Cricetulus griseus: one gene and its partners. The protein of the gene in region 1 purifies or fractionates together with the protein of each later gene. This does not show direct contact. Links are inferred from orthologs where the notes say so. Each region holds a gene or a part of one and is shown in the gene's direction. Other genes may lie near its edges.

Region 1 (4,129 bases):
CTAGCCAGCACTCCTCCAAGCTCAGAGGACTCTGCCTCAGGATCTGATGAGTAGAGGAAGAAAATTCTTGTCCTTGCCCTGTCACATCTCCAGGCTTTCTACATAGTTCTTGGACTCTGTGCCATCTGAGTAACTGCTCCTGGTGGCTTCCACTTCTCTGAGGCAGGCATCAAGGGAAACATCTAACCTCAGCTGCTTTGCAAGAATGGCTCCTTGTAATCTGGGGAAAGACTGGGTAGGAGTGCATTCTGTCTGCTCACAGTGCGTTGAAGGATCTAAGTCCTCGGCTCACTTGCCCGACTGTAGGGATAAAGCTGCTTCCTGTCTTATTCAAGTGGCTGCATCAGGGGTCATGTGAAGTCAGGCCTGTAGCTCCTAATAGGGGCCTATTTCTACTTTTATTTTGTATTTCTGGTCTGTGAAGTCAATTTAATAAATGGAACTGACTTTGGAAACCATGTCCTTATGTCTCCTTTCCCACTTTACATGTGGTGTTTACCCTTCTATCCGGACTCTGCAGGGCCCTCCTGCCCAGCTGGGAAGCAAGTCTTGAAGCACATCCTGTCCTTCCTGGCTGGACAAGCATTGGTTTTCACCCTTGTCTGTGAACAATGCCACCTGAGAGTCAAGAAATGAGTGCTGATCTGATTAGGAAGCCTCTCAGAGTTCCACTCCATTAGCCAGCACAGGGGTGGGAGTCGGAGGGGGCGGGGTTCTCAGCTCCATCCTTAATCACTTTAGGAGACAAGGGTCTTATAAGGCTTGAGGTAATAGAATGAGGATCGACTTTCTAGTGCAGGGAGTGGAAACCTGAGTCAGGAGGATGAGTAGTGTGTGAGTGAAGTTAAGTGTGTGAAGGGAGGGCTACAAAATTTCATGTTTGGGAAGTGTATCTAAGAGAGCTCTTAAACAGATAACACGAGGGAAAAAGCTACTCCACTTTCTACTGTGGCTTTCAATCTGAATTTATACACGACGGGTGGCCACGTCGCTTGCGCTCCCAGGAAGACTCAGGTGTAACAGGAAGCCTGTTCAGTCCGCCAGCGGTTCCCTTCGTGCTGCCCGCGCTCTATGGTGCTGTAATCAGTGTAGGCTTAGGGAAAGCAGTCCAGAGCGGTTTCCTCTCTAGGCAGTCATCTCGGTGGCGCTGGGGTAAAATTGCGTCAGTTTCGCCTAAGTCTGAATCAGGACCGGCTCCTCATTTACAAGGTCATGAATAATTATGTGCGAGCTGTGCTTGTTTGCATCTCGTGGGCCGGACTCTGTTTCAGCTTCGGCTTCCCTCTCACGGATTCTTATATGAATATTCATGAACGGCATGGAGGCGTGTCCCTGGGCGGGGCTATGGGAGGGGCCCCGGGGCTTGCACTGGCTCGGTCCCGCGGTGACGGTGGCGGCAGCGGCAGCAGCGGTCACTGGCGTCGGGGTGCCTAGCCGAACGGAGCCCGTCCCGGGGAGCGCGTGAGTGTGCGGCGACGGCCGGAGGGGGCGGGGTCCGGGGATGGGGGCGGGGAAGGGCATGGAAAGAACCGGGCGCCTAGCAGTCCCGACCTCAGATTGGGGCGGCGGCGATGGTGGTGGGGGGGTCACTAGGAAAGTTTGCGAGGGCCTGGGGACGCGGGGGCGCTGCGGAGCTGGAGCGTGTGTGCGGGGGTGGAGAGCACTCGTGCCGGGAGCCAGAAGAAAGCGGGGAGAGGCGAGGGTGGGGCGGGGCCGGGCCGGGGGCGGGCGGAGCTACTCGAGGGACCCCCCCCTCCTGCCTTCACCGGCCCTCTTCCTCAACTCTCATGGCACGCCCCCAGCCACCCCAGGCCGCCCTCACAGTCCTCCTCGCCAGTCCTCGGTCTGTTCCTTCGCGGGCTGCTTGGCATCTCTCACTGTCCCCGCTGCTGCCGCCCCCTCCTCCTCCACCCTCATCTGCTCCTCCTCTTCGCCTGGCCGCTCGATGTCCGTAAGCTCCCCACGGAGGCCCTCCAAACAGCCCCTTGCCCTGGGCTGTTCCGCCTTCCTGTTGGCCCTCCCTCTTCCAACACTTAACCCTCCTGGTCGCACTAGTCGCACATTCAGCAGGAGACCTTTAGGGACGACCCTGCCGGCCCTTAGGGTGCCTGCCTGCCCAGGACTGAGGCTGCCTAGTGCCTTCCCATCCTTTGGGGGCAGCCTTTACTCCCAAGGCTGTCTGGTTTCCCTAGACCATTAAGGGTGCGGAGTTCTTGAGGCACTGCGATTCTGCAGCTTGAGGCCATGGCCTTGGTTTCCTGGGGCTCCTGGCTGGGGCCTCTCTACTGTAGCCACCTCCTCTGTCTTCATCTCTGCAGCCCCTTATAACCTCAGAGGTGTCCATCAAGCCCACAGGTGAGAGGATTTTTTTTTCTAGACTAGTTTTTCTTCATTTCTAACCACCCACACCATATCCCTTGTAATAATGTTCAAGGACAAGGAAGCAATCTTGTGTATTTTTAATTTTATTTTTTCCTGTCACCCCCTCCCCCCCCACACACGTTATTCTCCCACGCACAGCCCGTGGTAATTGGCTGATCAGAGATTGACATTGTCACAGTTTCTCTCCATACCCTCTTCGAAATAAGCTGGGACAGGGTCAAGGGGATGGGGATGCCTTTTGCAAAGACTGGGCACCACAGGTCGTTTTTAGCATTGAGAGCTATCTTCTCAGACCAGTTGGAGTGGGAAAGGGACTTTGAGGTTGCAACACAGTGAGGGTTGGGTTGCCCCTCCAGGGTTGTGTGCATTCCGTGTGTTAGGCAGCTTCTCCCTTGCTTTTGAACCTCAGGGGCAGTGCTTGCTATTCATCAGGTAGCAGAGCCTGAGGGGGCCTTGTGGGTGGGAGGGTGCATCAGCACCCAGGGTGGGAACTGAGGAGGTGGAGTGCCTGAAGAACTGATGACTTGGGGTCATGAAGGACTGGTCTAGGAATGCAGCCTAGGGTAGGGGGAGAGTTATAGGTGGTTACCAAGGATGTTAGTTAGCTCATTAGTGACTCCGAATGTAGTCACATTAATAGTGGCCAACTGTTACTTATCACTTCCATGCTTGGTATTTTGCATGCATTATTTGGCTTGAAACTCAAGTCTTAATACCCCATTTTTCAGATAGGGAAAAGTCACACAGCTTTAAAATGGTAGACCCACTTAGCTGTTAAATCTGTTAATATCAGATTCAGAAGCTCATGTGACAGGCTACTACTATGTGGCTGTCATCTGGTTTAATTTCTTCTGGTCCCTCAAAACTCCTTCTGGCCGTTTCCAGGCTAGTGATCCACACATATTCCTATTTCACAGTCTATGCAGGTCCCTCCCTGACTGTCCTGGAAGGCTGGACCCTGAGGAGTTTTCCTCCAAGTCAAGCCTCCCACCCCCACCCCCCGCCCCCCAATCAAGTCCAGTCTGTCCTCTCCCTGCCCATCCTGGGCCGGCTCCTCCTTCCCTTTGGCTAGGCCCTGGAAATCCAGTGGGAGGCCATTGCTATGGTAACAGGACTAGGCCCTGGCTTTACCTCATCAAATTCCAAGCTGAAGCCAAAACGATTGAGAAATTAAAGGAAAAAAATGTATTCCAGATGTTTACTTTTTATTTCTTATTTCCCCGTGTTTGGATGAGACAGCTCTGAGAGAAGGAGGAGGGGGCAGGGATGTGAAAGGAGAATGGGGAGAAGGGGGTAGGGAGCCACTCCCAGCCCATAGAGGGAGGGAGGAGACTGGGAAGGGGGGGGCGGCAGTGGGGCGGAGCCCCAGGTCGGGGAGGAGCGGGTTTTTCCCGTCTCCCATGAGGTGATTCCCGAGACTTGAGACTTTCCGGCCCTCTTACCCCGCCTGGAGTGGATACCTCTAGTGGGGCTGCCTGACCAAGAAGGGTGTCTTGGGAACTGTAAGTAGGGTGTCACAGGAGGGTGCTTGGGGATGTTGTGAGTGAGGTGGCTCTCATGCTCCAGATCTCTGAGGTTCAGAGCCAAGAGTTGGAGAGTTGTAGCAAGGATGTGGCTGTGGGGTCCTTCCCCACCCCGCCTGTGGGGACCTCCCCGACCTCCTCCTGGAGTTCTCTCTTCCTGTCCCACACAGCCTGGGTTAGAAATAGACTTCCTTGGCTAAGCCTGTTGACTCGCCCAGCTCTTT
Region 2 (3,949 bases), on another chromosome or scaffold:
TGCCTTCTCTAACATATGTTACCCCGAGCTCCCCTGGAGAATGCCTACACCCAAAACCATTGTGATGGTCCTTCAGTCGATTGGCTGAACTTGGGAACCCCTAGGAGACACACCTCTTTGAGGGCAGTTCCAGAGAGGTTTAACCGAGGGGCAAAGACTGACCCCCAAATGTGGACAGCACCTCTCAAGAGCTGGCCTCTCAGACTGGATGAAAAGGGGAAATTAAACTGTTTCCTGACTGAGAAGGCAATGTGACCAACCAACTTGACATTCTCACAGTGGCCATGCCATCTCAGTGATGACCAGCTGTATTCCTTCATAAACCCTGCAGCCAAACGAATCCTTCCATTAAGTTGTTGGTCAGGTTACAGCACTGAGAAGTCCTTGCCTCTGCCACTGCATGTGGGCCCCCCACCTACTCAAGAGCAGATGCTGCCCTTCCTAGACGTGGGGATGCGGGTACCTTCCACCACCATGTTGGACATTGCCTCCTGTCCCTACTAAGGGCCAGCTCTGTGCAGAAGACCTTGGCTTTGAGCATGAAGGACACATTAAGCCCTTCATTTGCTTTCTGCCTGCATGGAGCCACTGAATGTCAACAGCTAAACAGCTCTCAACCTTCTCTCAGTCAGCTACCTGGTGGAACAGAGTCATTAAAGATTCTTTACGTCATTGGTTGGGTTCATTCCACCACGGAGAGGTATTTGCAAGGGAAGGCCGGGGAAACTACCATGCCAGTGCATGCCCTACGCACACATCGTTCCTCCCCCAAATCTCCAAATGGCCCACCCATGCTTGCCCAGACGGCGACCAGGCGCAGACCCAGCAACCCAGAGGAGGGTCCTGGTGAGAATAGACCCATGTCATTCTGCCCTTAGGTGACAGCGGCCACAACCCTCTGCACTGCACTGCCACTGGCCCCTGGAGCGGAGGCCAGGGCGCAGGGAGGCTTGACTCTGTGCGCCACACACCGGGAAGTAAAGAAGAACGTTAAGTCAAACAAAGGGTCCGCAGCAGCTGCAGCAGGGGGGAACACGCGACGACAGGCGATCGAGGGGCGCTCGCCACCGCGCCCTGCTCCCTTGGCCCGCGCGCCCAGCCCGCCGCCCCTGCGCGTGTGTCCTTATATGGTCAAATGACTCGGCGGGGGTTCTCGAGGGCGGGAGCCGAGCCGGCTGCACTCCGCCTGCTGAGCCGCCGCCGCCGCCACCACCACCGCGCAACAGTCCTCTGAGTGCCCTAGACCCCGGCCCCGTCTTGCGCGAGTACTCCTGCCGCCGCCCAGTCCACAGCCGGACCTGGTACACAAGAATAGCCAGCAGACAGCTGCCCTAGCACGCGTGGAGAGACACCGGTGGCCAGCGTACCCTGACCGTGGGGCGGAGACCCGGCAGACCCGAGCAGGGCTGTGCAGACCGCACCCCTGTAGGGACCCAAAACGGGAGGAACAGATCCTGGAGGTAGGAGAGCCCTGTTTTGCAGAGGACACCAGGGATGGGGACCTAAAACGGAGAGCGTAGATCCGGGGAGAGGAGAGCCTAGCTGGGCAGGGGATACTCAGAAAGGGGACTCGAAATGAAGGGGAAGGAGGGGATACGGAGAGTCATGGAGACGGTGGACCGGAAACATGAGAGAAGAAGGGGAGTCTTGAAGGGGAGACCTCAGAACCGGGGAGTTGATCTACAGGAAGAGCGGATGCGGGGCAGAGAGGACTAGAATCATGAGTGCTAGGGACCCGAGCACAGGAGAGTCTGACTTGGGAATGGTGGGGAAGGGGACCATTGGTGTCCAGAGAGAGGGCTACAGCCCTAGAGGAGTGAGTCGCCGCCAGGTGGTGAGAGACGATGAGTCTCCCCCAGAGGCAAAGTGGAACTGGTCTCTGAAGTCTATGGAAGGGAGGTGACACGCTGGTCAGCACGTGGATGGCCAGGCATTTCCCTTGGGAAGAAATGGGAGTTTGCCTGTGACCACACATCTTGACTCATCCACAAAATTAAAACCTGAGCCATAGGGTTAAAGAAAAATAATAATAATAACGCTTTGAAATGAACAGAATTCTAACTGATAGATTGCAGTCTTGTGATGTCTTGTGGAAAGAAACGCTTCAATGCTGTTTCTGGTTTTAAATGAAGCATTGGTCGTATTTGCTTGATAGTCTCCAGTTGTGTCTCTGGAACTCACCGAAGCAGGCATTTTATGAAATATGCAGCTGTCTTTGGCAAAGCCAACTTGTGGCGTGCACTTTCTTGCACATATTTTTAGGAAGTAATGAACTACAATTTGGGCTTACAGTCATGATGAGATTGTCTTCAAAACACTACTCTAAATGTGTGTCATGTCGTGGTGTTGCTCTGCTTATATGTATATTTTGCAGTAATGTATGTGAGGAAGGTTGCTTGTGGTAGTGTTACTGTGGTTATCGTTTGAGATAAATCCTTACTCTGTAGCTGGGAAAGCCTGGAGTTTACCATGCCATCTCAGGTGAACTCACACTGGTGCCTATCCTCCTGCCTCAGCCTCCAAAGTGTTGCAATTACAGGAATGACCACGAATTCCTCAAGCCCCCCTCTCCCTCCCACAAAAAAACCCAATTTGCCCTAAGGCTTAGAGTTCCCAACCCATTACCTAAAGGTCAATAAAACCAAATTTAAAACAGTCATTTTTCTCACTCTTTTTTTCAGATTCATCTCTCTCCTAGTTTTTAACAGAATAGTGTGTTGCATTGGTGGCCCCCATCCTGGCTTCTCTTTGTTCTACCTCCTTGCTGTCCGGCCTAACAGATACAACATGGATAGGTGTAGAAAGCTTGGTTGGCAGATGCACCTGGAACAGAACCAAGATGCCAGAATTAACACTGGGACCTCTTAGCCCACATGGCCTTGCCTAATTCACAAAATCTATTGGTTGCTCAGTTTCCTCCGAGAGAATCAGATAACAAAGACGCTTTCCCAGCATACATATATACACATATGTGTGTATATAGATGCATATATATCCTGCATATTATATGCAGCATATGTAGATTTTATAGCCTCTTGTTCACAGATAAGAAAACTGAAACAGAATGGTCGAAGTAACTCTGATGTCCAAAGTTTCCCAGTATGTAGATTGTAGCCCTGAGAGCTGTATCTGGAGATTTCTACTCTGTACTGGGCCTCACTGTATGAATATTTTGTTGAGGCCCTATGCGGCATGTTTTTACCTAAGACTGTTAAATGCCTTCAATACTAAGCACTATCTCAACTTCAGAGAGAAATGCGTAGCAGGATATAGAAGAAAAAAATTCAGAAAGCCAAGAGGAGTGGATTCTCCCCCTGTTCTGCACAGAGGGCTGGCTACCCAGCACCTAACACACCACGTCCAAGTCACTGTTCTATTGTTGTGAGAAGACACCACGACCAAGGCAACTCTTATAAAAGAGAGCATTTAGTAGAGGGCTGGTTACAGTTTCAGAGGCTTAGTCCATTACTGTCACTGTCACAGCAGAGAGCATGGTGGCACTCAGGCAGACTTATGCTGGAGACGTAGCTGAAAGTTCTATTTTATGATCCACAAGTAGCAGGAAGAAAAATGGGGCTGAGTCTGGCATGGGCTTTTGAAACCTCAAAGCCTACCCTTAGCAACACACTTCCTCCATCAAGACCACACCTCCTAATCCTTCTAATCCTTCGGAGAATTCCACTTCCTGGTGGCTAAGCATTCGAACATATGAGCCCACAAGGATCACTCTAATATAAACTACCACACACCAGCTTAGCCATTTGTAAGCAGCTGTGGTTCAGATATGATTTTTCTTCAAGACTCTTGTGTTGGAAGCTTGGTCATCCTTGGGTAAATGTTGGGAGGTAGGGAGTGAAGTCTAGAGGTTAGAGAGCTGGTCCATCAGCTAGGAGTACTTACAGAGGGCTTGAGTTGGACACACCATTCATGAACCCCGGTAACTTCTACT
Region 3 (4,151 bases), on another chromosome or scaffold:
ACTCTCTTCTTTAGGCTGGAGCACAGGTTACCAGGATACAGCATTGGAATGGGAGTGGCCCAGCAGAATGAGTGGCCCCTCAGTCTGGCACCCTTTGTATAAAATATGCACTGAATAACTTGAGTAGATCAGGCTTGGAGGTTATGGAGAAATATCTTCAGGTAGGTAGTATGCATCTGTTCTTACTAATTCTTCATGTATGCTGGGTGCTTGCATTGCCTTAACTTTGTGTAGGGACCCATTGCACTAAAGGCCTAGACTGGCACTGCTATCCTGGCAGATGGCATACAATGATCATCTCAAGGCAATGCTGGAGCCATGCAAACACAAACTGTTTGATTTGAACAGAACATCTGGTTCTTGGAAGAGCCTTTGTCCCTGGGAGCTTTGCTCTCCCAGCTCTCTCTGCCTCAGGCAATAGCCACCCATTTCCTACAGACTTCGGTGAGGGACAAGCATTTATTTATTTTTTCCTTGTTAGTTTCTGGAAACCATTTGACATTCATATCTTTTGGGCTGATTTGGCACGAGGTAGGGGGCAGCTATTTTCCTTCACACTATATCCTGCATAGCCAGTGCAGTTTGTCTGCCGGATATTACTCTTGCCCATACACTATGCAACGCTGACTCAAGACAAGGTGGAGTCTGATTAATCCCTGAGCCCAAAATACCAGTCAACTATTATTTCCTGACGTAAACATCATTAGTCAGCCCGTTTCTTTCCTGGTTTACCTGCAACCACCGTCTGCAGGTAATAACCCAGAAGAGATAAGACTGTGTTAGCCTTTGAATGCGGCTATGGTTCGTTACTTAAAACTAGGACTTTATCATCAAAAACTCCTACTGATTATTTTTTTTTTTTTTCTGCATAGTTAGGGCAGAAACAATGAGTCGAGTATTCAAGATTGAACGTTTTGTCTCTGGGCAGATCAAGACACTGGATAGGTTAAAAGTCTGAGTGCTTATCTGTGCTTCCAAGTGATTGACAGGTCAAGGAAAAGAAAAGTGAATGGAGAGGAGGAAAAATCAAGGGGAAAGTGGAGATAAAAGTGAGCGAGAAGGGAATAGGGAGCAGCTGAAACGGCGTTAGGACGGTGTTAGGAAGAGGAGGAGACAGTAGGCGTGGAGAAGGCTAGGCGCAAAGAGAGCGGGAAGAGAGGCAGGGCGGGCGGGCAGGAGCGCGCCGGGCCGGCTCACTGCTCCGCGACGCGGGGGAACGGAGACGAAGATCCACCCCCCTGCCTGACGCGAAATGGTCGCGCCCAGCAGTATCCTCCAATGGGAAGCCAGGATGTTGGCAAGGCGGCGGTGAGCGGGGCTCTCGCTGGCTGGGGTGGGAGGGGGACGGCGGCCGCCGCCATGATGCTTGTTTGCTTTCAATGAAAACGAGGGGGGCGCGGAAGAGGAGGCGTCGGCGTCGGTGGCGGCGGCGTCGACGGCGCGGAGGCGAAGGCGGCGGCGGCGCGGGCGAGGAGGGCGAGGCCGGGGGCCGAGAGGGCGGCAGAGCGTAGCGGCGGCTCGTGGGGTCCGGGCGGCCGAGGCGGGCGGCTGAGGAGCGGCGCCTGAGGGGGGAACAAAGAGCGGCGGCTGAGGCGGCTGAGGAGCGGCGGCGGCGCTGCAGCAGCGGGCGGGACTGGTATGGTGGTTCCACAGGGCAGACCCCGCTGCACTCACCGGGAGGAGGCGGCGGCAGCGGCGGAGGAAGGCGGCGCAGCTCGAGAGGTGAGCGCGACGGGCTCTGCGAAGTCCCGCCGAGGCTCGGCTGCCTGCGCTCTCCCATCCCCCGGGGGCCGTGCCCTGGGGACCTCGAGCGCGCACTCACACACAACTTAGTAGTTCTCGGAGTGACGTCTGCCGGTCCCCCTCCTGGACGCCGCAGTCACGATCCCGTCGGTCCCCGGGCCGCGCCCCCGCGCGGAGTCCCGGGGCTCGGCCGGGGGTGGGGGTGTTGATTGACGGCAGTGTGGTGGCGTACAGAGGCGGTGGCGTGGGCCTGAGCTTCTCGGACCCCCGGTTCTGGCCATGCGCATCTGGAGAGGAAGGAGCTGGTGTCCCGGGACTCCGGGCCAAGACCGGTGGCAACTTCGGTGAAGTGGTTGTGTGGGGTGGCGCACTGTGCGGCGTGGAACTTGGCACTCCGTGGACAAACTTAGCGCTCACCTTTTCCTTCCTCGAGTATTTTAAATAAGTCATTTTAACGCAGATATTTACTGTTAGGGCGGAGCGGATTACGTGGCCAAAGACGTAATTATCAGATGTAGAGATTATTGGACTCAGGACTCGAGTACTAATTCCTTGAAGAAATTTTCCCGAGTTTAACTAAAGCGAACCTAGACTTTTCATGTTTGAACGCCAGTGGTTATTTTCTTTGGTAACATTCCCCCCCTCCCCCGCCGGCTTCCCCCCTTTGACTCTTTCTGCTTTGACATAGTCTTCGGAGTCTGCTCACAAGCAACTGTAATCGTTGCTTTTAACTGTTAACTGCAAGTGACAACATTGTGAACAACGTCTTGTTACTGTGTTTAAATAATCTGCTTGAATTTGAGTACAGGCAAACCTGTTTTGCAGGTAGACTGCCGGATTATTGCTAGGGCTAAGTTCTTTGTTGCCTCTGTTTGGGATTGTTTGGAGAAGAGAGGGACTACGAATTAAGCGAAAACCAATTTGGTGTGTAATAGCACCGTTTTCCACAGTTCCCTAGAATTCTCCACCATTCATTCCACAGCAATTCTGTAGGCAAAAGGTTGTGAAGACATATTTTGCTTTTTGTAATTGCTGCCAGCCTTTTGAATTTGATGCTTTCTAGAATAAACTTTAGAGTTAAAATTACATGGAACTAGTGGTCTAGTCTTACGCTGCCCATGAGGAAACCGAACCCTAGAAAGAATAAGATGACTCGACCAAGGTATTGCAGTGAGTGAGGGTAAACATCAGGCTTTCTGTATTTGTGAAGACATGTAATTGCGGTATAATTATTAAGTATTTTTTTTTTTTTTTGAGAAGAAAGGGTTTTAGCCAATAGATACTGTTTGAGGTAGATCAATGTGGCCATTTCTTAGTAAGTGCACAAGGTGCTTGCTAACATGGACAAAATGTATGTGACAAAAAGCCATTTTTCTTGTGTGACTGGAGATGTCTCCTTGGAAGTCAGTCCGTGTGTAACTTCAGATGTTTCTGGTTGCTGGGAAATTTCAGGCTTTTTTTTTTTTTTCTTTTCTTTTTTTGAACAGATATTATACATGTAATTTTAACTAGTATTTTGGTTAATGTTTAGGCATCTACTGTACCCATGTTAACTTTAAAAGAAAAAAAGATCTCTATGTAGTCCTTGTGGGCCTTCCTGTCTTTGTCTCTGGAGTGCTGAGATTAAAGGTGTGCAGTACCACAACTAAGTTTTTTATACAGTGCAGCCCAGAAAGGTAATCTGTGTAAGATACTGGAATAATGGTTGAAGCAGCTTATAGTTGTATTTTTTGGCCCTTGTGTGATGAGAGAGTAAAATCTTCAGTTCGTTTGCAACCCTCTCCTATGTGCAAGATCTTCTGGTTAGGAAACTCTGGCTTAGATGTTTTGTCACTTTTGAGAATGCCCACATATATTCATCTAAAAATGTATACTTAAGATTTCTATTATAAATATGTAGTGGTATTTGTTGTGGAGAAGAAAGTTCTGGTTTTAATGTTTTCAAACTTTAGTTTCTACAAAATCTTTTTGCTTTAATTGTGCCTGTTATCAGGCTGTGGAGGTAACCTTGTTATAATGAAATGTGACTAATAAACACTACATGTAAGTTAAGTGCAGACTAAACCCAAGTATAATCTAACTACATGTGCATTTGAGTACAGTGGAATGCAGTAGAGTTTGAGTTTGGTGTTTGAATAAGTAATTAAAGAAGAAAAGAATGGTCATTTGAGTCCAAGATGGAGGCTCATTCGGGCTGCCTTTTACCCTCTGGGTTTTACTTTTCTTTTGTCCATTTATATTTTTCTGATAAGTTGCACATACAGGAATAGCATGTGATGGTCCTGAGGTAGTTGATGAAAGTTCAGAGGTGACCATATTCGGTTTCTACTTTCCTGTCCTTCGTAGGAGTAATGGGTGCACAAAGTACTTCAAGGAACAGCAGAATGATTAAATTTATGGAGGTTGTG
Region 4 (3,500 bases), on another chromosome or scaffold:
TAAAGAGAACAGGACAAGAGAGGGAGAGGCAGAGGGGGTAGCCAGGGTGTAGGTGGAATTTTCTGTTCTGCCAGCTAGCTCCCAGATAACCACAGAGACTTATTAATTATAAATGCTTGCCCAATAGCTTAGGCTTGTTACTAACTATTACAACTTAAATTAACTCGTTTCTTTTTTTCTTTTTTTAAGATTTTATTTATTATGTATACAGTCTTGTGCCTGCACGCCAGCAGAGGGCACCAGATCTCATTCAGGGTGGTTGTGAGCCACCATGTGGGTGCTGGGAATTGAACTCAGAACCTCTGGAAGAACAGTCAGTGCTCTTAACCGCTGAGTCATCTCCCCAGCCCCTAACTCATGTTTCTTATCTACATTCTATCACGTGGCTTGGTACCTTTCTTCAACACAGCTTCTCCCTGAGTGTCCTGGCAACTACACCCTTCTTCACCCCAGTGCTCTCTCCCTGTCCACAAGTCTCGCCCAACACTTTCCTACCTAGATATTGGCCATTTAGGGGAGTGCCCTGAAAGTGACAAACAACCCTGTGGTAGGCCAAGGGAGCACATGGCCACAGAAAAAAACCCTCACCAGGTTCAGTTAGGGCTTCCTGGGAGTCTTGTCAGTGCTGTTTCTGAACACACCAGGTAAGGTCGCTGCTATGCTGGAGCTCAGGGAAAGACAAAATGAAGTCCCGGCTTGTGTGCCCCTCCCACTAGGGCGTCATCCCTTCCTGGGCACCCTGCAGGCCCCACTACAGCTCCAGGGGGCTCTAGGGACCAAGGCCTCACGGGGGAGCAGAGGGGGTAAGGAGAGAGCTTGACTTCCCTCTCCCTTTCTGGATCTGAAACTTCAAGGTCCTCTGATTTTCTCCACACATTTCCATCCTGTGTTTGATCGTTTGCTTAAATAAGATCCGTATGACACGGCTGCTGCCAGCAGCACTGCTTGAAACCTGTTAGCTGAAACAAAAAGCCTTCTGGGGAAATGAAAGGCCTGACTTTTGAAATCTAAGCATTCCTGTCCATCTGTCTTTTCTCAAATGGCCTCCATTTAAGCTCTTAAATGTGTTCTGAGTGCCCCTTCCACTAAGAATATTCTGGGTAATGTTATGATTTTTTTTCCCCCAGCTACAATTACCCCGGCTCCAGGCCTAACGGCTTGAAATGCCGTCGTCTGTGAGGCAGGAGGACCACTTAACAGGCTTCTTACACTTCAGGCCCCAGTCTGCATGGGATGGGTGATTGTGTCCTAGCAGGTTGCTTAGATTTTTAACCACATTTATCCCCCCCCCACTCTGTGTGTGTGTGTGTGTGTGTGTGTGTGTGTGTGTGTGTGTGTGTGTGTACATGTGTACATGTGTACATGTGTACATGTGTACATGTGCACACACTCGAGGTCAGAACCTAAAGGTTTTCTCCTTGCACCATGTGGGTTTCAGGTATTGAACTCAGGTCATCAGGCTTGTCAGCAAGTGTCACCTTGCAGGTCCAGGTTGTCTTTCAAAAAGAGTAAAAGGCTGGGTCTTCTGTGCCCATGTGAAGGCGATGGTGGGGGGAGGGGGGAGGGGGGGAGATGTGGACTCACCCTGCTTACAGATATGTCAGGGATTCTCAGAGGAAGCAGGGTTGGGGGGAGGTCCAGCTCATAGTTGGTTCTTGCACACTGTCCCCCAGTAGAAGAGCCAAACCTCGCTGACTAGTAAGTAGTGGCAGCTGCCAGCACCCTTCAGCTGTCCTCTGAGATCTGAGGAAAGATGCCTTTCTGTGTGTCCGCCCTTCCTTCCTTCCTTCCTTCCTTTCTTCCTTCCTTCCTTCCTTCCTTCCTTCCTTCCTTCCTTCCTTCCTTCCTCTTCCTCTTCTTCTTCCTCTTCCTCTTCGTCTTTCTTTCCCTTTTTCCCTTGTTTTGTTGTATTTGGAGATAGGGCCTCGTTAGATAGCTCAGGCTAGACTCAAGCTTGATCTTCCTGTACCTCTTACAGCTGCCAAGACTGCAAGCATGTAATGTCACCCTAGCTCCATCCCTGTCTGTTGGCCCGAAGGACCCTGCAGAGTTTGTCAGGTGCCACAACGGCCCCTTCATCAAAGACTCAAGCTAGTTCTGGTCTTGGGGTAGCCCAGGCTGTTCCCCCTTCTCCATCAGTCCTTAGGTCTTCAGTCTGTTGGTAGGGGTGGGCAGGCTTGAGCTTGGAAAGGATATTTCTTGTTTGGGAATTGAGCCTGAGGACTTATCATGGACAGGTTTCTTTGTGTGGGCAAGCACATTCGCAGCCCCCTTCCCCCCCCACACACTCCTTTGGAAACTAGCAAGGAGACCTTCTTAAAATGCCTCCCATTGCTCTTGGTGATCTAATGTTCTCCTGGTGTGGGAAAAGGTGCTTTTCAAAGCAGCAGGTTGGGGCCTGGTTCTCTTTACTTCCTGTGTGCTTAGCCCTGTGTGCTGGGTTCATTGACTGTGTTCCCTAAGGAGCGAGGCACCTCCTGCCTGCTTCTCTAACTGACAGCAATCTTCTTCATACTTATAGTCTGAGGAGCCTCCAGAAAGTCAGGGAGACATGGGCACTGGCTGACCACTTTGATGGTGAACACAGGGAAACACTGGTATTTGTGGCCACGGCACTTGCCATTCTTTCTATCTGTTCCTCAAAACAGCCCAAGGGTAGTGAATGGTAGCCTTGTTTCCCACAGGAGAAAGTGAGGTTGCAGCTAAGGTGTTTGCTGGTGTTAACAGCTGCATTTAGCCTGTCTGCTGACATCTGACCCTTTGCTCTATAAGCCTCTCCAGAAAACTTCTTGGTGACTTGGCCCCTGAACTTGAGGCAGCTGAGCTTGGACCCTCTGTTTACAGGCCAGGGGACTCGGAATGATTCACAGGACCATCTCCTACTTTGCTACCTTCCAGGTCACCGTGGAGTAACAAGTATGATCCTCCTTTGGAAGATGGGGCCATGCCTTCTGCTCGACTGAGAAAGCTGGAGGTGGAGGCCAACAATGCCTTCGACCAATACCGAGACCTGTGAGTTACTCTGCACATTAGCTCTCGGGGCTTTCATGGGGGGAAATCTTCTGTGAGAGCGTGACTAAGCTGAGCAGCCTCCCTGCTCTGCTGCCTGGTCTCCTAACTTGCTAAAGTCGGAGCCACCTGAGGCAGACATGACCATATTATTCTGTTACCATTCACAATAGTGGCAGGTGAGTCGGGAGAGCACATATGTGTTTACAGGGCATGTTTACACAGGGCATGTGTTTTGCGTTCCCACTGTCTCAGGTCCTCTCAAATGAATAGCTATTTCAGTGGGAGTAAAGTGTCGGATGCTACAGTGGTGCAGTCACCACATAGCGCTCACACAGAGAGAATGAGGAAGTTTGTCCAAGGCAGGGGCAAAGCTAAGACTCACACATGGGTGATCACTCACAAATACGCAGTTAAGATACAGTCTCTCTCTGTAGCTTGGGCAAACTGAGTTTGTGATCATGTGTGGAGATTACAGGTGTATGAGAACA
Region 5 (3,500 bases), on another chromosome or scaffold:
TGGAGCTAGTACCCTACTAAAGTACAGTAGAGTTCTGAAATACAAGCAGTTTAACATACTGGTCTCTTAAACATTAACAGGTTTGACTGTTTTAAATAGTGAAAAACTGCCAGGGATAGGACTAAGCTAAGCAGTAGAGACAATTTAAATGATCCCCTGCCCCAGCTTGGCCTTGTAATGTAGTATTTTGTGTTGTAACATCAATTACTTTTTTTAATATATAAAGAGAGTAAATACTAATTTAGTCTATATCTGCCTCAGAATCTTGTTTTGCTGTTGTTGTTGTTGGTTTTTGTTTTTTTTTCTTCAAAACTTTTCCTGTCCTTGGCCTTGTCACTGAGAACAAGAGTGACTGAGTTGGTGACAAGACATTTCTGATTATAGAGACTCAGATTGAAGAGAGTCCTCCATAGGGAGCATTTGCCATTTTCAAAATAGCTTTAAGAAAAGTTTTCACATTTAACCCTTACAAATTTTGACCCATTATTATTTATTTGATTAAGCTACTGGAAACAAACTTGATTTTTGGCAAAAACTAAAGTCTGCTCAGGCAGAGGAAAACAGGGAGTGGCAGTGTTGGTGGCTTTGCCTCTGTCCTTTGTCGATGAAAAGAAGGGTTGTTGCCATATTGAAGGGGCAGAGAAGCAGGGCTGTTGGGTGGCACATAGGTGAAGGTGGCAGGTGAAAGGACATTCTGCAGTAGAACATGCATCATACATGACAGGAGACTTGACAGGAAGCATTGGTAGCAATAGGCTTTTGACTTCTCAGTGTTGAGGTGGTTTGTTGAACCGCTGAAGTGGATCAGCCAAGATTAAAACCACTGAAAGGAATGGAAGATTTTAAGCATTTAAATATTAAAGTTTTCTGGGTGTGATTTTTAAAACATACCAACTTTGTAGTTCTTACAACAAAGTTGTATACGTCATTGCTTTTAAGGTGTACACTTTTTCATACTTAAGATGTGAAATCATTGTGAAAGGCTACTCACATTTCAACTGAATGATGTTTTTATACACTGCTTTGAAGTTTCAGGGGTTTTTTTGTTTTGTTTTGTTTTTCAAGACAGGGTTTCTCTGTGTAGCTTTGGAGCCTATCCTGGCACTCACTCTGGAGACCAGGCAGGCCTCGGACTCACAGAGATCCACCTGCCTCTGCCTTCCGAGTGCTGGGATTAAAGGTGCGCGCCACCAACCCCAGGCTCAGTTTCAGAATTTTTATATTCTTAGGTTTTATACTGGAGAAATTACTTTCAAGATTTTCCCTAAGTTTACATTTGGGACATTATAAATTGCTGGTTAAATTATATTCTCACCTAATACATGAACATTTTAAATTGGACATTGGAAGACTTAAGGATGAATATTAGAAGTTAATTTTTACTTGGAGAAAAATTATAATTAATAACCATAATTTGAGAAATATACTTTATAAATTAAAACAGTAAAAATTTTCACCACTTTTGCTTTATCCATATTGCATTTAATGGAAAATTTATAAATGTTTTTAAAATAATTTGTATGAAATGGTTTACCTTTACCCTTGTAGTTTTAAATTATTACCTTCCTTGGTGTGTTAATAAAGTCTTTTTATTAGCCAAGTTAATATTAGGATAGATAGTAGTTGATATCCTTTTAATTGAAAAATTTTGAGAAAAATCAGAATTAATTAGAAAGTGGCCCCAAAACTATAATGTTTATAAAACAAGGAGAAACATAGATTAAAGAAAAATTATAGTATAGGGCAAATTTTAGGTAGAAAAATTAAGTGATTCAAAATTAGAATTCAAGGTTAAGAACACTCAAAGTTGAGAGGAAAAACTACTAAAATAGGCAAAATACGGAAGTTAGGTTAAATGTTTATTTCTAATGGTGGCAGTCTAATTCAAAATGCATAAAATCTTTATTCAGTATATTTATTGAGCGCCTACTGTGTAACAGGTAATATAAACTTCTAGGTTTTGGTCATTCCTATGTTCCCCACCTGCTCCTGAGACATAGGAGGAGTTCGTCCTTGCATATAGCTAACATATACATACATGTGTACACATTTTTATCTCAAACTAATAGTGTATAAGACAGAAGTCCTCAGGGGTTCTCTGTGCACTATTTGTCTCAGAGTCTTTCTGGACATTTGTAAGAGGTAATATCATATCTTACTGTTGAAGCTCTAGGTAATCTAGATTTAATGAAAAAAGCAGTTATATCTAAACAGTCTACTTCTTGTTCCCTAGCAAATTGTAATCTTTTTATCTCCCTTTCTGTTGGGGGAAATAATGTACAACCACACTCTTTATTCTTTGTATTAAATCTCTAGAATTAGGTATGTTAAGGAGCTGGCTGCATATTGCTTTCCTTAGTTGTTAGGAAATTCCATGACAGAAAACCAGTCCATAGTATCTTACCACTGTTATACACCTGTTACACCACTCTGCATTATTAAGGAAGAAGACACTGTTGTTTCAAATTATAATTTAATTTTTATAATCTCATTTTCAATGTTGGTGAAATCAGTAATGATTATTGTTTCTTATCGTTTAGATGGCAGTGAAAATGTGACAGGATTGGACCTTTCAGATTTCCCAGCATTAGCAGACCGAAATAGAAGGGAAGGAAGTGGTAACCCAACTCCGTTAATAAACCCCTTGGCTGGAAGAGCACCTTACGGTAATTAAGATTTTTAGTGGTAGCTGATTGAAAGTTACAGTCGTGTATGCACACATACGTGTCTCTCTGTGTGTTTATGTTATCAAATCAGGCTAGTGTTATTTTGAAAACTTTTTTTTCAAATTTGAAAATTCATATTTGAAAACTTTTTTCCCATATATCCATGATAACAAAATTCAGTGGTGAAATTTTGTATAGAAACCTAAATACTTGACTTCATTGATATTCAGAAATTATTTCTTCTGTTCTCCATACTTTAGTTTGATACAAGTGATTATTTTTGTGGTTTGGCTTTTCTTAGTTGACCCCACATTTTTCAAGTGAATATATCCCTAGTGATTAGTAGTGACTTCTGGATTGGGGTGTTTCTCTAAGTGAAGGTTTCTCTAGATTCACACTGTTGACAACGGCCTGGATAATTCTTTTCAGAAAGCATGTGGTGTGGGGGCATCTTGTTCATACAGAATATTTAGTACATTTCTAGCTTTAGCCTACATGCCAGCACCATACATTGTGACACACCGTTTCTAGACATTAGCAAATGTTCTCTTGTAAAGATAGTCCCTCTTGAGAACCAGTGCTTATGATTTTGTTCTCGACCCTTATAAGTAGCCCTAATTATTCTTTTTTGTTTTTTCTTAAAGATTTATTTATCACATATACAGTGTTCTGCCTATGTTCCAGAAGAGCAGTCAGGGCTCTTAACCTCTGAGCCATCTCTCCAGTCCTAATTATTCTTTTTGTAGTCTCTAGTAAATTATTTAACTAGTAGATCTGAATAAAGATGTTAGGGGAGAACCATACACAATAACAGTGTAGACATAAAAATTTAGA
Region 6 (3,500 bases), on another chromosome or scaffold:
TTTTTATCATTATTTTTACTTAACAAGGTAATACCTGCCTTTTTAACATACCATTAATTGAATAAGTTCTTTGATGTTTAGTTAGGCTGAATTAGAAGTTACCATGGCTTAGTCCTCTCTTGTGAATGTGAACCCTTTGTTTTTAATATGAAATAGTTGGCTTGTTTTCTTTAATTTCTTTGTTAAATTTCAAGTCTTTGTCAGGGTGAGAATGACATATTTTCTATGTGATACTTCCAGGGTTTTTAGATTATTCATAGCTTCCTTGAGAGTCAGAAATCTGTTGTGTGCTTGGCATTATTAAGATCTTTTGTTAGCCTCTCTCCTGCCTGCCTCAGAGCACTTTATTACTTATTAATGTTGCAGGCAAGAACAAGGTGGTAAGATGACATCAGTGCACTTCTCTCCCTGTGCTGCCTGTGGAAGAAAAGGCTGTCTTGAGTACTAGTTTGAATTATTCAGACTATACATATTGTTAAATTTCCCTTTTTTTCCTACAGTTCTTCAGTTTATCTGTTGTTAAACAAAAACAGCCTTTAATGTGAAATTTCATGTTTACTTTTTGTTTTTAGCCTTTTCAATATTTTTATGTATTTTTCCTATCACTTTCTTCCTGGTATATTTTGTTCTGCTTTTATAGAAATATACACCTTTGGGGTTTATCCCTTTTTAATTTATAGAAGAGTAATTCTGAATTACTTACTGCACACTTCTACTTCCTAAGATACATCCCTTATCCCTCTAGAAGGGGAATTTGGTGGGTAGGAGCAAATAGCTTTTTGGGGACATGTTTTTAATATTTAACATAGTAAACATTCACTTATAGCCATAAGTGACACTAAAACTTCTAGGAAAATGAGACAGCTTAGAAAAAAAATGTAAATTATTCCTTCAGTTTCATGTAACAGGTACTTTATTAATTTATTTTCTCAATGTTGAAGAAAATTAAATATAGTAAGATTGGAAGGAAGAATAATTTTACCTAAATATCAGACTTAGAAATTTGTCTTTTTTCTTTAGAGTTTCTATTTCAGTAGAAAAATCTGAGATATTCTTGTAGAAAACTTAGGTTTGCATGTTAACTGATACTTTAATAGTTCACAAGTATATAAACTTAAAAAGCAATAAGTTCCTGTGTCAGTCACACTCTAGAAATCTCCTCCTACTCATTTCTTTTTATGAATCCAAACATCTGAAATATGTGTATATAGATTTATGTTAAGTGACATTATACCATTAATATTTAATTTTATGCCTTGACTGTTTTAGGGTCATCTTTCGCCAGCACCTATTAAGTTTTCTTTTCACAATTTGTATTTAATATTATTACTTACCATGTCCACCTTTTGAAAAGTACTATGTTGATGTTTGACAGAATTTTAGGGAAAAAAGAATATATATATAGCTGAATTATCGTTTTACAAATTATTCGAGTATCAAAAACATTAAGTGGTTGACTACCCTGAATTCACACAAAGTAATTAGTAGTAAAAGCAGGTCAAAGATGAAAGTATCCAGACTTTTGAGAGCACATAATTCTCTGATTTTTGTTTTGAGGGTCATGGCTGCGTATGTGCCCAATATACATGCCTGGTACACATGGGAGCCAGAAGGGGTGTTGGATCTACTGGAAGTAGAGTTGCAGGTAGTTGTGAGCAGTCTGATGTCAGTGATAGAAACCAAATTCTGGTCCTCTTCAAGAGCAGCAAGTGCTCTTAAGCTCTGAGCCTTTATCCAGTCCCACAGTTTCCATTTTAAAATTAACTGGGGTCAGCTGAGGTGGCGCATGCCTTTAATTAATACCAGCACTCGGGAGACAGAGGTAGCCCAATCTCTGTGAGTTTGAGGACAGCCTGGTCTACATAGTGAGTTCCAGGACAGCCAGGGCTACACAGAGAAACCCTGACTTCAAAAATTAAAATAAGTAAATAAACTTTGAGGATTCAGTTGGGTAACAAATGTGCTTCCTTATTTCATTTTCTGTAGGTTCATATAATGTTACTAATTTTTCCTACTGACCTTTCACTATTAAGCTAGTGAAATGCAACACAGGTAACATATTATGTAGTGGCAAGATATTAAGTATTGGTTAATTCAGTTGGAAAAATCTCTCACTAGATTATTATGCTAATTAAATAAGAGGCACTTAAAAGTGCTTGCTTGGTACTAGAGAGGTGGCTTAGCAGTTAAGAGCATTCATTTTTCCAGAGGACTGGAATTTGGTTCCTAATAGCTGCATTGGGTGGCTCACAACCACCTTTAATTTCAGATACAAGAAATCCTGGTCTCTACAGGCACTATATTCATGTACCGACCTCATATTCCGATACATATACACACATCATTTAAAATTAAAATAACTTGTTTGCTTTAAGCTAAGAACTCAGCAGATGAATAGTACTATAACCCATATATTCATTATATTATGAAATAATTTCTAGTATAAACATGTACTATAATTGTTGATACTAAATATTTTAGGTTCTGTGGACCACATAGAGTCTGTTTGAAAAGTGTAAAACTACCTTTAGCTCACAAAGCCTGTAATAGAAATATGTAGTGGACCCAGGTTTATTCCATAGGCTGCCATTTGTTAACATGACCCTGATGAATAACTAATATATTGCAATTTCCAGAATTACCTTTTAGCTTGTCAGATAAGTGCAAGATAAAAATCAGTTTAAATTAATAGGAAAGAGTAAAGAAGTAGCAATGGATATTTTTCAGAGAACTTTTAAGGTACTACTCTCAAGAAACATAAACATAACTCTACATTTTCTTTTTTATGATGTTTAAATTTAGGTATGAAGCCTATTCATGCTGCAGACAAACAGCTGCTTATAGTGGCAAATGCCCACATGCATTGGGACCCAGAGTATTCTGATGTGAAACTTATTCAGACCATGATGTTTGTCTCAGAGGTTAAAAACATTCTGGAGAAAGCCTCAAGTAGGCCTGGCAGCCCAACCGCAGATCCTAATTCCATCCCGCTGGTGCTATGTGCAGATCTTAACTCATTGCCAGATTCAGGTATTTACAACATCATTTTTTTTACTTGCTTTCAGTTTTGCTTCTAATTTTGGTTGAAAGGCCACCTATCTCCTAACAGGGCTTTCTCTTCTAAATTAAAGAACATATCAATTGGAATTTGAGGGCTGAGACTGTGACTAATTGAAAAAATTTAATAAGGAGACTGATTCCAAAGGAGTGTTCAGTCTTAAGTAAAAAAAAAAAAAACAAAAACAAAAAAAAACAATGATTGCTTTTGTACTTTACCACTCCTACTCCTAACTGGGAAAATGGTGGGAGCTGTCATCAGAAATTGGAAGTATACAAGAGAGCCAATAATTGAGGTGATGGCTTAGAATTGAATGATTCAATCAGTGCCTGCCAGATTATAATAAGAAGGGAGATGTGGGAAGATAAACCCTTCTCTCACTCTTGCTCTGATCTGCCAGGGCTCCCCATTAATCAAGTCTAGATAGAAGCTATAGGGGTAG
Region 7 (3,500 bases), on another chromosome or scaffold:
TGGTTTCCTTAATTTTTCTATTTAAAAGGTTTGTTTCTATTTTAAGTATTTTTTAAATTATATGTGTTGGGGTATGTCTGTGTGTGTCTGTGTGCACATGAATGCAGAGGCCTGGAAGTCAGAGGCATTGGTCCCCTGTAGTTACAGGCATTGGGTCCCCTTGAGCTGTAGTTACAGGCTGCTGTTGTAAGTTGCCTGATGTGGGTACTTGGAACTTGGGTCCTCTGGAAGAGCAGCGAGATTTCTTAACCTTCGAGCCCCTTGTTTTATTTTTGAGAAAGGATCTTACCGTGCAGTCCTGGCTGTCCTGGAACTCAGTATGGAGATCACCCTGACCTGGAACTCTGAGATCTGCCTGCCTCTCCTGAGTGCTGGGATGAAAGGCGTGCACCGTCACGTGCCGCTAGTTTTTTACTTTTGCTGGTTGGGTGTTTTGTTTGGTTTTATTCTAAGCAGTTTGGGGTTCGTAGCAAAATTGAGCCGTTTCCTACCGCCCTCCCCATCAACATCCGTAACTCCCCATAACAGCTGTCCTCGTTGGTAAGTATCAGTGCGTATCTTACAGTGGATGAGCCACACTGACACTTTACAGTCCCACAGAGTCTGTAGCTCACATTAGGATTTACTTCTGATGTACATTTTGTGCATCTGAACAAAGTACCTACCCACTGGGGTGTTATACAGAGGACAGTAACTGCCCTAAAATACTGCTCTACCTTGAAGTGTAACTTTTTCTGTTTGTTTGTTTGTTTGTTTGTTTTGCCAGAAGAAAAATTTGCCCAAGCAGTGTGCTTTCTGCTTGTAGACTTGTATATATTAACCCACCAAGCTGAGAAAGCTCTGCATCTTCTTGCTGTCCTAGAAAAAATGATCTCACAGGGCAGCAGCAGCAAAAACGGAAAGAATGAGGTGAGTTCCCAGCCATCAGACTGAGACTTAGAAGGTGTGACCCATGTCTGTCACATGAGACATGGTATCCTAGCAGCTTTCTGGAGGTGTGATTCACAGGAACTGTGCTGTCCGTCCAAGCCTTGTAAGCTTGCCTCTTAAAACTTTTCATTTTAAACACTTGCATGGCTTACATTTGTTTAGCTCCAACAAGTGTATTAAGAGATTCCAGCAGAGTGCTTTTAGCATTTTTCCTAAAGTTTGTGTTGTATAGTATTTCTTTTCCATATTTGGTGTATATGTGTGATAGGTTCTAATCTAAGGACGGTAGAAACACTGCAATCCTTGTCCCCGGGGCCCTCTGCAGGGAAGGGATGGATGGAGTACAGTGAGTTCATGGGTGGAAAGAAAGAAAATGAGAGAAGTTTCTAGGACTCGTGTGTTTGATTTGAATATTCAGTCTGACGAGTCAGAAAAGGAGGGATGGAGTAGAGTAACTCGTGGTAGAAGAGACAGCACAAAGGGTGTGAACAGTGGTCCTGATGTGTCTGAGATGTGGGGAGCAGCCAGGCAAGCACACTAGAGAGAAGGTGGGTCTGTGCAGAAGGAAGGTGAAGGATTGAGGCTTCCTCAGGGAAAGTAGGGCTCAGTGGTGCTGTCAGGGTAATCACACAGGAGGAGGGCAGAAAAAGACAGCCTGTCTTGGGTTTTAGAGGCATAGTCTGAGGGGCACTTGTGATTTTAAAATTGGTCCATAGCTATGCTCTTCTCCTCCTGTCAGGAATGCCGTACTGATCCTCAGTCCCTGGGAGTAGGCTCTGCAGCAGGTTCAATTTGAAAATGGCCTCTGGATACTTGATTTGGACACTTTGTACTTAGCTCATTTGGAAATCAGTATGGTTACAACTATTTGATTTTGTTTCACTATTGTACAGACTGGCAATAATAGCAACAAGGATGGATCTAATCCTAAGGCTGAGAGTGGAGCTCTAATAGAGGCTGCAAAGTCCAAGATACACCAGGTAGTGTATGCTCAAAGGGTGGACATGCATGGAAGCTGTGTGAGAGGCACATAGACACTAATTCAAGGCGGTGCATTTACTCGGGTTGGAAGGATGTAGTTTAGAAGTATAGTTTTTCCTGTAAATACATTTTGCTTTACATACACATACATACAGTATAACTTCTTTAAGTCACTGTATAGAACTTTGAAATAACCTAGAGGGCTGGAGAGATGGCTCAGAGGTTAAGAGCACTGGACTGTTCTTCCAGAGGTCCTGAGTTCAATCCCCAGCAACCACATGGTAGCTCACAACCATCTATCATAAGATGGTGCCCTCTTCTGGTGTGCAGGCAAATATGCAGACAGAACACTGTATATGGAATAAAAATAAGTAAATAAATTAAAAAAAAGAAATAACCTAGAATATATGATAAGTCAATATATGGAATTTTAAAATTATACAGATAAGATAAATTGTTTCATGCAAATTTGGATTTGTAGGTTTTTGGCTCGGGAGTATAATGATTGCCTATGATGCACAACACCTTAGATTCTATCCCCAGCGCCACACAAAAGAAAAGGAAAACAATACTTAAGATCATTTTTAAGTTGCATTTGGATGAAACTGGCATTTGACTGCGTTGTAAGCAGATGAGATTTACCGTCCTGCTCTGGGAAGCAGAGCTTGAGCGTGTGTAAGTGACCCACCTCTTACGTGCCTCCGTTCCTCCCTGACAGTACAAAGTCAGAGCGTACATCCAGATGAAGTCCCTGAAGGCTTGCAAACGGGAAATCAAGTCTGTCATGAACACGGCTGGAAATGTAAGTTCCTCCTGGGCTTTCCTCAGGGCTGTCAGCTTGCGACTCTCATATTTAGACTGAGGTTTGTCAGTTCTCAGTGATGGGGTGACTTACTGGTAGAGCACATGCCGCTAACCCAAGTTCTGAGGGGAAAGGAAGATTCTGGGCTAGCTGGCTTCTAGCCTGCCATTGAAAACACAGGCTTCAGGTTCAGGGAGAGCCTGTCTCAGCAGAACAGGGAGAGGTCTGCACACTTGCACAAGCCCCTGTGCCTATGCACATACACATAAATAAATCTTGTTTTTAAAAATTGGTGGCCAGCATACACCTTTAATCCCAGCACAGGGAAACTCTTCAAAAAACCCTAAGTAAATTAAATACATTGTTAAGTGCTGTGCAGTTTACTGCTTATACATGAGGCCATTAATCTTGACTTGGAAGTTTCTCCACCTAGAATAATCCCTGAGATTCTAATTCTTAGTGAGCAGAAGACCTCTGGGTCAAGAGAAGGCTGAGCAGAGAGAGAAAGAGCTAGACTGTAGAAGGCGAGCATGTTTATAAGCTAGCGAGTAATTGCTGGGTGGGAGATTTTCACAGTAGTGTCCAGACCTCTGTGTGCATTTGCACTCTTGAAGATTTCAGGAGAGTGATCTGAAATCCAAAACAAGAATTTTGGAAGAGAGATATTACTGCCTACAAGCAAAACTTGCTGTCTGAAAATTCTTCCTTTCATACTTGGAAGAACACCTGGTTATTGGGTATTAGTGAAAGGTGAGCTTGAATCCTGAGAAATGAGAACGGTTGGGGA

What was found.
Region 2: the proteins of Tnks1bp1 (region 1) and Fhl2 purify together in Homo sapiens (affinity purification with mass spectrometry; 3 studies listed by BioGRID and IntAct, with this or other methods). This does not show direct contact. The link is inferred for Cricetulus griseus from reciprocal best matches to the Homo sapiens genes TNKS1BP1 and FHL2.
Region 3: the proteins of Tnks1bp1 (region 1) and Cnot6 purify together in Homo sapiens (affinity purification with mass spectrometry; 3 studies listed by BioGRID and IntAct, with this or other methods). This does not show direct contact. The link is inferred for Cricetulus griseus from reciprocal best matches to the Homo sapiens genes TNKS1BP1 and CNOT6.
Region 4: the proteins of Tnks1bp1 (region 1) and Capzb purify together in Homo sapiens (co-immunoprecipitation; 5 studies listed by BioGRID and IntAct, with this or other methods). This does not show direct contact. The link is inferred for Cricetulus griseus from reciprocal best matches to the Homo sapiens genes TNKS1BP1 and CAPZB.
Region 5: the proteins of Tnks1bp1 (region 1) and CCR4-NOT transcription complex subunit 2 purify together in Homo sapiens (affinity purification with mass spectrometry; 5 studies listed by BioGRID and IntAct, with this or other methods). This does not show direct contact. The link is inferred for Cricetulus griseus from reciprocal best matches to the Homo sapiens genes TNKS1BP1 and CNOT2.
Region 6: the proteins of Tnks1bp1 (region 1) and Cnot6l purify together in Homo sapiens (affinity purification with mass spectrometry; 4 studies listed by BioGRID and IntAct, with this or other methods). This does not show direct contact. The link is inferred for Cricetulus griseus from reciprocal best matches to the Homo sapiens genes TNKS1BP1 and CNOT6L.
Region 7: the proteins of Tnks1bp1 (region 1) and Cnot10 purify together in Homo sapiens (affinity purification with mass spectrometry; 4 studies listed by BioGRID and IntAct, with this or other methods). This does not show direct contact. The link is inferred for Cricetulus griseus from reciprocal best matches to the Homo sapiens genes TNKS1BP1 and CNOT10.

What each region holds. Positions count from the first base shown.
Region 1 is NC_048599.1:90,486,593-90,490,721, reverse strand, and holds the start of Tnks1bp1 (182 kDa tankyrase-1-binding protein), read left to right. Parts: upstream 1-1,329; 5' UTR 1,330-1,461; intron 1,462-1,971; exon of another isoform or gene 1,972-2,355; intron 2,356-3,731; exon of another isoform or gene 3,732-3,884; intron 3,885-4,129. Other genes in the region: FACT complex subunit SSRP1, read left to right, coding at 1-54.
Region 2 is NW_023276807.1:5,338,962-5,342,910, forward strand, and holds the start of Fhl2 (four and a half LIM domains protein 2), read left to right. Parts: upstream 1-1,149; 5' UTR 1,150-1,460; intron 1,461-3,949. UniProt on the Homo sapiens protein: May function as a molecular transmitter linking various signaling pathways to transcriptional regulation. Negatively regulates the transcriptional repressor E4F1 and may function in cell growth.
Region 3 is NC_048600.1:64,155,617-64,159,767, reverse strand, and holds the start of Cnot6 (CCR4-NOT transcription complex subunit 6), read left to right. Parts: upstream 1-1,351; 5' UTR 1,352-1,722; intron 1,723-4,151. UniProt on the Homo sapiens protein: Poly(A) nuclease with 3'-5' RNase activity.
Region 4 is NC_048595.1:14,047,072-14,050,571, reverse strand, and holds part of Capzb (F-actin-capping protein subunit beta), read left to right. Parts: intron 1-2,898; coding exon 2,899-3,012; intron 3,013-3,500. UniProt on the Homo sapiens protein: F-actin-capping proteins bind in a Ca(2+)-independent manner to the fast growing ends of actin filaments (barbed end) thereby blocking the exchange of subunits at these ends.
Region 5 is NW_023276806.1:139,747,295-139,750,794, forward strand, and holds part of CCR4-NOT transcription complex subunit 2, read left to right. Parts: intron 1-2,540; coding exon 2,541-2,666; intron 2,667-3,500. UniProt on the Homo sapiens protein: Component of the CCR4-NOT complex which is one of the major cellular mRNA deadenylases and is linked to various cellular processes including bulk mRNA degradation, miRNA-mediated repression, translational repression during translational initiation and general transcription regulation.
Region 6 is NW_023276807.1:158,440,508-158,444,007, reverse strand, and holds part of Cnot6l (CCR4-NOT transcription complex subunit 6-like), read left to right. Parts: intron 1-2,802; coding exon 2,803-3,030; intron 3,031-3,500. UniProt on the Homo sapiens protein: Has 3'-5' poly(A) exoribonuclease activity for synthetic poly(A) RNA substrate.
Region 7 is NC_048597.1:221,684,002-221,687,501, reverse strand, and holds part of Cnot10 (CCR4-NOT transcription complex subunit 10), read left to right. Parts: intron 1-766; coding exon 767-909; intron 910-1,823; coding exon 1,824-1,910; intron 1,911-2,629; coding exon 2,630-2,713; intron 2,714-3,500. UniProt on the Homo sapiens protein: Component of the CCR4-NOT complex which is one of the major cellular mRNA deadenylases and is linked to various cellular processes including bulk mRNA degradation, miRNA-mediated repression, translational repression during translational initiation and general transcription regulation.